Linked DNA regions of Arabidopsis thaliana. The protein of the gene in region 2 interacts with the protein of the main gene of each other region in a pairwise test. Each region holds a gene or a part of one and is shown on either strand. Other genes may lie near its edges.

Region 1 (4,469 bases), on a different chromosome or scaffold from region 2:
TATATATAGAGAGAGATTTTGATACTGTTACCTGTTGCAGTGCGGTTTTGGGTGCGGTTTATATTACTATTCATAGTCTAAATCTCCAACATTTTAAAGTGACACTACTGTTAGTGATACAATCCTAAATGGCTAGACTACGATTACGGTGCATGATTCGAGAAACCGATTCAAATCAGGACCAGATTGTCAACAGCCGGATCAATCCAATATAGCTAGATAGGAAATTATAAATTATGGATTTTTTTCGCTCAAGAACATATATTATAATTCAGTTTAGTACAATAAATTAATGAGGCCATTATGATTTGGCAACCCATTCGAGTTTAAGAATACTCATAATCCAATCCATACGACATCGTGAATCATCTCATCAACACTAGTCTTATGCATAACCATATTACATACCTTAATTAAACATAATTTGTTTTGTTTTTACTAGAAACTTTTTCTTTTGAGCAAACTAAAATTTAAATTCAACATCTCTTTTTAATATTTGAAAGTCTCACTAATTAAGTACCACCGTCTACCGAAACAATATTTGGATTTTGGATCATTGAATTAATCTTAATCATCATACCTGACAGTACGTTGTTCATCCACCCAAATTTAAAATTCAACGGCTCGTTTTATATTTGAAGCAAGGTCACATATCACGTACCAGCAACTATATATACTCGAAGTATTGACCAAAACCATTCTTGGATCATTAGATTAATTTTAAGCATATCTGACAGTTGTTCATTGACCTTAAATTTAAATCCAACGGCTATTTCTATTTTTGAAAGTCACACATCATGCATCAACGGCTATATTTCCGAACTGTACTCACCAAAACTATCTTTAGATCATCTGATTAATCTTTAATCATATGATAGTTGTTCTTCTACCCAAAACCAAATTCTAACGTTCACTTTCTGTATTTAGCCCATAAATTTCTATCATGAAGGAACAAGTTTACAAATCAGCCATCGAGCGGAGAATGAAAAATTTAATTTTCAATCTAATGGGTGATCATCCAAAAGCAGATCAGAAAAGCTCCAACGACTGTCTCTTTCTTGATTTCTTCTGATCCAACAAATTGATTTAGAACTACCCATCTCGGCCATGTTTATAAGCCCACTTTGATCATGATCTAGGGATACAAGTCCAACTAGGCTATGATCAAACATAATGATCATGAATCCATTATGATTCGGCCTGCCATTCAAGTTAAAACAAACTCATAATCTGGCCCATATCGTGAATTATCCCATCCACCACTTGTCATATCTGAATGAATCAGCACACACGACATCCATATTCCATACATAGATTGGTCATGTGATCAACCACACATCAAGCTGACAAGATTCAATCCAAACATTTCTCTTTTCAACAACTATTTCTATATTCGACTTTATCCCCGAATTATGCTCATTAAGACCATCTTTTGATTAACGGATCGAATTAATCTGGATCAAACATGGGGATTGTTTTTTCACATCTTTTTTGTTTAGTCCACGAAGATTTTTCATGAATGAATTAGAAAAACTAATTATTTTTTTTTGTGATTTTTACGTAACGTTCACAAATCACAAACAAAAAGAGAGTAAATATCATTTAACTGAAATTTATTAATGAAACAGTACCAATCAGTTTCACACAAATTTGTAGAAGGCAACAAACGTATAAATGTCAAAACAATGCATGAGTGACACACGTAACTACTAATGTTATTAACTGGGTCCAATTAAAGAACAAGAGACACTTTAATTAGCCTTAACAACTGTGACAGGACATGTTGCATTTGTCACCACATGATTGCTCACACTACCCAGCAAGATCCTACAACAACAACAAAAAACCCCACAGATAACGTAATTATTAATTATCACTCCAATTCTCCTTTTGATTAACCACAGAATAACGAAATAAGTGATACTAAAATTAATTTGAGAAAAGCCAAATCAGTTTCAATTATTTGAAGCTATATTGCCTAAATTTACTGAAATTCGAAATTTTTTAACCAACGAAACTAGACTATATATAGTAAGTAAGCATAAGAATTTACCTTTTGAGAGAACCCAAACCTCGACTGCCAAGAACAATGGAATCGAGTTTTAGATTTTCGACAGCATCACAAAGTTTCTCCCTTGGATCTCCCCAATACACCTTTGCTACAACCTTCACCTATAATTTTGTTTAAAGTTTATATTACAATGAATTAAACATCATTATTTGAAAGAAAATCAAAATGATATTAAAGCAATAGTTGTTAACTTGTGTAAGATTACGAATTACGAAAGTGAACATTTACCTTTTTAGCCCTAGAGAGAGTATCAAGAACATCAAGAACCTCAGGATCGTAAGCAAGTCCATACTGTTTAGACAAATTAACCTCTCTAAATTCCTCCAAAGGAATTAGCGCTGCAATAATTAGTTTGTAACTTTTAAATGATCAAAATACAAATTTTGATCATAATATGGAGTTAACTCTACTAATATATATTAAAGAGATGTAGTAAGTTAAATACGTGAACCGGTTTCCTCGAAGAGGATTTTGCGGGTATGATCGGCGTTTTGTGGTTGGACGTGAATCAAGATGACGGTGTCGCCGTCTTCAAGGAGATTCTCCGCCGCCCACCGGAGAGCTAATTTGCTCGTCGGAGAATAGTCCATTCCCACTCCCACCGTACGTGCCTTTCCCATTTTTCTCTCTTGCCCTCTCGATGATCTCTAAGTAGAAATTGATTACGGTAGTCTAATTTATATGTATATAATAACCGGTTTGATGGTTTAGACTTTGGAGAATATTATTGGCGCACACAGAATTCGAGATATTTAATGATTGTCTTTTTCTTCTATGGGGAGATTCTTGAAACTACTAGGTCTCTCTCTCTCGCTTCTTTTCTTAAAATTCTTTGTTACTGAGAGTATTAATGACTAGTCATTTCTTTTGAATAGTTTTGTCTTTTTATTTCTTTTGTGTGCATAACATTTCAGTAACCTCATATAGTTTGAAAAGAATTATTTAATATACTTGATATTGAAAACATGATTTTAAAGTGATGTGAGCGAATACATTTTGGTTTTCTTTTAGTCGAAATCTTAAATTGTGTACTGATGAAAGCCATAGAAGATTCAAGATATGTATTTGCACACGTAGAGTATTAGTGAATTCTCTTTATCTCACTTGCTCTCCAAGAAAAGTAATATTCTTTGTCAACTTTCAGCAAAGGCGAATTTGATTCTTCAACTTTTCTTCCTTTATTGGCTTATTTTTTTTTATTCATTGATTGATGGAACACGTACCAACACCTTCGGTGAAATATTATTCCAATTCAAAATTTTGTTTAAACTTATTAAAATGAAGTTACTGTTGAGTGTTGATAAAACATAGAAAACAAGAAACAAATAAAAGACATTAAACAAAACAAGCACTAAAGTAAACCTAAAGAAAATTCAATCAACTATTGATGTAAGTGCAATACTGCTTGACAGAACTACTAAAGAAAGAATTGCTGAGTGGTTTAAAAATGGCTTGAGCACAGTCTTCGTCGATCTCAACAATGGCCTTGCAACATTCTGGTCCTATCGTAATTTGAGGACTAAAGAATGAACCGAAGATTTCCGCCACGCAGGCTTCTCCGTCTCCTAGGTCTGGAAAACACATCCTAGCTAACTCGCTATTATCACTGTTACCGATAATCCCACCGAAGATGGAAGAGAGCGAAAATGGAAGTGGAGGCGAGAATAAGGAGGATGCGGTTGCACTTGCTAAAGATGATGAGAGGACAAGAACGAGTACTAGAGAAAATGGTTTCATCATGATGAAGAAACAAATACTGATAATTAATTAACAAGTGTGAGTGATATATATATAGTGGCTTTGATGCTTGAATCTTGGTGAAGCCTCTAACGGGTTTCAGAGTTTTGTAAATATACAAGAAATAAAAAGGAAATAATAATTTTCGCTAGAAGAAGATCTTTTAGTTACACTAACAATATAAAAAGATCTTTCCGTTATGATTCTAGTGCTTAAATATCGTTTAAATTGGACTAGCTTACTCTGATTTTTCAAGCGAAGTTTAAATGGTTTATATACGACTTACGAGTTGTTTACAAAAAATTATAGTATCAAACTTATACGAATTTGTAACAGGAGGTGTTTTGGGTAAATTTGTCCTCATTTATGAAAAAGCTATGATGGCTTTAGAGTAGAAGAAGCACAAGTATCCCGTTTACATTCAAATTTGAATTTAGGAATCAAATTTGAAATACATTAGCTGAAAGAAAAGGTTAGGCCTTGAAGCAACAAGAACAGTCCGATCCCATAGACAACGGAACCGTCGCGTCATTGAACTCAATAAACCGAAAACACAGGTGTCTTAAGAAGTGACCGTGGATCCCACACGTGATTTAAATTTTGCGATAACAACTGGAAGAGTAAGCGAATACTATATAAATAATATTTGATTTTGGTTAAA
Region 2 (4,819 bases):
AATTATAGAAATGATAAAGTTTTGGATTGTCTACTTTTGAACCCAAAGCCTTTCACACACTTCGGTCCCCTTTTTCCCATATACAGGTCCCATAGACATGTTTCCTAAAAGCATCATGAATCGGATTATCCATTTTCTTCTTCTTATTTTATCATGCTAAAGTCATTAGATAAAATTTTTAATATGTTATGTTTTGTCTGCTTGTGTGACATATACAGTTTTAATTAATTATAGTATGAAACTTGGTCGTGGAACCAATTATGGTTGCTTTGGAAAATTCATTTATAATAAATAGAGTGTTGTTTATATAGCATGATTCCATGAAGAAAATCACTTTTAATTAGTGTGTAATCGTCTTTCAAATAAATTATCCTCCCCAAAAAAATGATTTGTTATTAATTTGATTCTGAATTTAGAAATTATCAGCATTAATATAGTATCACAATCCCAAAATAGCAATCAAATTTACTACAAAAATAACTATTTCCTAAACTCTCCAATATGTCTAAAGCTGCTAATATTTTAACAAAACCTTCTTCTTCTTTTTTTTTTCAAATAAAAAGCTTTGTTTATAACAAATTCCTTTCACACTTTTAAATTCAGAAGCTTTGTATTTTCCCTTTACTTTGTAAAATAGCTTCTTGTCTATTCAGAAGCTTCCATTGTCGTGGACTTGTTGATGTTGTTGTAAGAGCCAGAAGTCTTCATCATTTCCAATGTTCCAAAAACTGTCCGAATAATTTGGTACCATCCCATTAATATTTTCAAACCAATTAAGGTCACTTTGATCTTGCATCTTCGTAAAATCTCCGTTTAATAGTCCACTGCTATTATCCATATAATTCGGCGATGTCATTTTTGGATCCACCAAATTCTCATCCTGACCAATCTTCCACACTTCACTACTCACTTGACACTCCGTCAAATCTGATACAGGAGATACTGCCACGCTGGAATTATCCGGCGTGATGTAACCATTAGGGTTACTCATTAAAGCCAAATTATCCACGTTGTTGGTGTTGTTGTTGTTGATCACGAACTGATCTGAGGAGGTGGTGACGCAAGATGACATGGAAACAGACCCGATGGACGCGGCTTGGATCCTTTCTACGAGCCGAGGCATCCAAAGATACTTCATGGTGTCTTTAAATTGTTGACTGTTCACGTCGCATTTAAGCTGTTTTGCATGCTTTTGAACACGTGTTCTCCAATAGTTTTTGATCTCGTTATCCGTTCTTCCTGGTAAATATTGTGCAATCTTAGACCATCTGTCCTCACAAGAAGAAGAAAACTTGTGATCAAATTCATTACTAGTACAAATAAACCAATCTTTCAAACTCTTGTTAACAGAAAATAAAATGTATTGATGACTAAAGATGTGAACTAATTCGTGTACAATAATATTTAGCCATCTTTGTGATCAAAATCTTGTTAGTAGAAAATAAAGTGTATAAATGACCGTAATTAAAAAACGTACCTATTGCCCCAACGTGTGTGAAGTTCAAGAATCAAGAGTTGTTCTTCGAGGGTTATGTTTCCACGGCGCACATCTGGTCGGAGATAGTTCAGCCACCGAAGTCTGCAGCTTTTTCCGGTCCTTTTGAGTTCTGTTTTATATTGGAAGTTACTATTATTTAATTAGACATCATCGTGTACACGTATATTGTATGATGATTTCATACGCAAGAAACTCATGATAATGATCATATATATTTGGTAAAGTTATCAAATTTACTCTAGAAATTATAGGGACCGTTGCTATGAGGCAAACTCTCAAAAAGGGTCTTTGTCTCCTGAAAACTTTCTTCCATTGCGTTAGTGCTCTTCCCATATAGATGTTGATCAATTATTTCATTTATTTCAACACGAATAGAGTTACTCTATTCAAAACCTAGAGGGTTAAATAATTGAATCCATTTCCTAAAAGTTATAATAATTGAGTCCGAATAGCAAAACACGATTTCATTAGGAATGATCATAGATAATTTTAACAATTCAGAAAGAAGAAAAATAATGAGAGAACGGAACACAAAAGCATGACACTCTTTTTGTTTTATCCCCATGATTTGTTTTTTCCTTTTTTTTTTGTGTGCATACAAGGCAAAATCCATTTCTTGAACTTTCACAACAAACTTTTATCCAAAAAAAAAAAAAGAACTTTCGAAACAAAAAGATATGATTAACAGAAAAAGTGGCGCACTGAGTAAATTAAAAAAGACACATATGGAGATCGAAACAACTTGTGTATAATATATGGTTTGTTACTTATTTTTATTTGTTTTCAATCAAGGAGCACATTTATACACACCGTCTATGCCTATATTAATCTAAGTGTGTATATGTGTAAGTAGATGTTAGAGTATCATACCGGCGCAACGAGCGAGAGAGTTCCATCGACCTTCACCATGACTAGCAATGTAATTGATGAGCTCTAAATCTTCCTCAACTGTCCATGGACCTCTCCTTACGTCCATTTCTTCTTCCACTTTCGTGAATTCCTCCATGTTCTTGTTGATCTTTAAGCTCCTTCCTTTGTCACCCATTGATGAAGAGTGACCCACAAAGAGATATTCAAAGAAAAAAATCAAGACTTAGCTTTGTACTTGTCTTTGAGTGAGTTCTGAAATGAAAAGAGTCACTTTTTGGAGTTATGTTTAGAGAGATAATGGATGATGTTGTTTGTATCCACAGGAAAAGATGGAGAAGTTGATGGTTTTATAGATGAACAAAATAGATGATAATTCTTTTTTAAGATTTATTTGTAACATGTGGGACAAAGGCATAAACGGCCGCAATATTAGAATTGTTAATTTTTCCCAATAACTTAAAAACTTTAAAACATAGAGCATCTCCTAATATATTTGTAATTATCAACTATCTTTATGAGAGGAGAACATCATCATAATATTACTATCCGTGTTTAAATCCGCATAAGTATATTGTTGATAAAAAGAGATATCTTATAAATATGGATTGGTTTCAGGAAATATGAACAAAATACCGGAACAAAACAGTTTCCTCAATTTAATAATCGAACTAGTTCTCGTGCTTGTGTTTTAAACTGACACCGTTTATGTCAAAATTATTCATTTTCCAAGGCGGAAATGAAACCACATTTTGCATAGATATGAACATAGATTAGTCCGAGTGCGGTTGTTTAACATCCATTCTAGTCACTAGACCATGTCTACTGATCGAAAAAACAGTCTTAGGATTCATAATATTATGCAAATTTTGGAGCCACCGAATTTTTAAATTAGATTTTATGTATTGGTAAAAAAATCAAGTGCAATTTGTTTTCGAAATTCAATTTCATTGATAAAAAAACATCATGTTTGTTATTTTACAAAATATTTTATTACAAATTTACAATACATATTATATTGTTTAGATGTAAAATTTCTCATATTTACATTCGCTTTAGTTAGACCCCAAATCCCTAGACATGACCAGCATCATTATTCCTAAATACACCAATCGTTGCACACATTCATTATTCCTAAATACACCCATCGTTGCACAATTCATTATTCTTAAATAAACCAAATTATCCGTTTCACTTCTTAAATTCTAAGAAATATTTATCGTTAAATATTTCTCCGTTAAAGATCCAGTACAAGTACTGCCAAAATCCAAGGATGAAGACTGTATTTTTATGATTTTGTCAATTTACTCTCTTAATTAAGATATTAATCGAATCTATACACTGAAAATAACTAAACTATGAGTAATAAAATATCTCATTTGACTCTTTATGTCATGCAACGCGTTATCCTAATGAATAAAGTTCCAAATGCCGCAAATTGAACATTAATTATAGGATCGTGGTAGGACTTAATTAATTTTTAGGGTTGATTAGTATACTTAGTTAGCACTTAATTCAGCACTATAGCTTTGAAGGTTGACATTTTACGACTTTTCATGCGTGTAATTCTGTTTCTTAATTATGTTTATAAGTTGTCGTAATAACTTAATTATACTTTTTTCCAGTTTCAAACAAGTTGCAAATACTATACTGTATGTTCATATACGTCTTATACTTCTCCAGTTCCCCCTATGTTCATTGGTTTGACCATAAAATTCAAATTCATTTAGCCAACCTAGCTAGGTGCATTCAAATACTGAGGGACAAATTCAACGTTTACTTATATAATATGATATGAATGTAAATATCATTAGAAAATGAAGTGTTTTGGTTTTACATAATGTCAACCTTCTATATTTGTGTTTTGCCAAACATGGAAAAAAAAATACAATGGTCACATGGATCTTTTGACGAAGAAGCAACCCTAGTTATTCACATTAGGTTAATGAATTTCTTCCATGTCCTTTTTTGGCGATAATTGTATTATGGAATATGCCTACATATCAATGGTCTTTAATTAAGATTATTGTAGCAGGAGTTGCTTGTTGCTAATGAATTATATTGCTCATTTCCTTCCATATGTGATATACAGTGGCTTGAGCCACTAGCTTTTGCAGGATGGGCGGTGAATATGTGTACCTAGATTTGTTCAGACAATAAGAGAGTCTCAAATATAGAACATATTGGTTGTGAGGCTGAGTCGGGTCTGCATGGATCGTCTAATCAACTTGTAGTAATCACAATTCACAAGGAAGTGGTTTTGGTTTTCATCATAAGTAGAGAAAAGACAACAGTGAGTTGCAATCTGCATACCCCATGAAGCAAGCCAAACTATAGTCGGTAGTCTATTCATTTGACAAATCTACATCTTGAAAGCAAGACTCATCAGTGATCAAACCAATATTTGGCCGCTTCCCGTGACCACAATGCTTCCCAGTTCCCACGTAAAGCTGG

What was found.
Region 1: the proteins of MYB78 (region 2) and AT3G03270 interact in a two-hybrid assay, tested with the Arabidopsis thaliana proteins (one large-scale study listed by BioGRID).

Annotation. Positions count from the first base shown.
Region 1 is NC_003074.8:760,385-764,853, forward strand, and holds AT3G03270 (Adenine nucleotide alpha hydrolases-like superfamily protein), read right to left. Parts: upstream 2,732-4,469; 5' UTR 2,692-2,731; coding exon 2,517-2,691; intron 2,410-2,516; coding exon 2,300-2,409; intron 2,173-2,299; coding exon 2,054-2,172; intron 1,828-2,053; coding exon of another isoform or gene 1,752-1,827; exon of another isoform or gene 1,201-1,751; coding exon 999-1,200; 3' UTR 750-998; downstream 1-749. Other genes in the region: AT3G03272 (prolamin-like protein (DUF1278)), read right to left, coding at 3,449-3,811.
Region 2 is NC_003076.8:20,136,842-20,141,660, forward strand, and holds MYB78 (myb domain protein 78), read right to left. Parts: upstream 2,689-4,819; 5' UTR 2,544-2,688; coding exon 2,369-2,543; intron 1,608-2,368; coding exon 1,478-1,607; intron 1,311-1,477; coding exon 650-1,310; 3' UTR 555-649; downstream 1-554.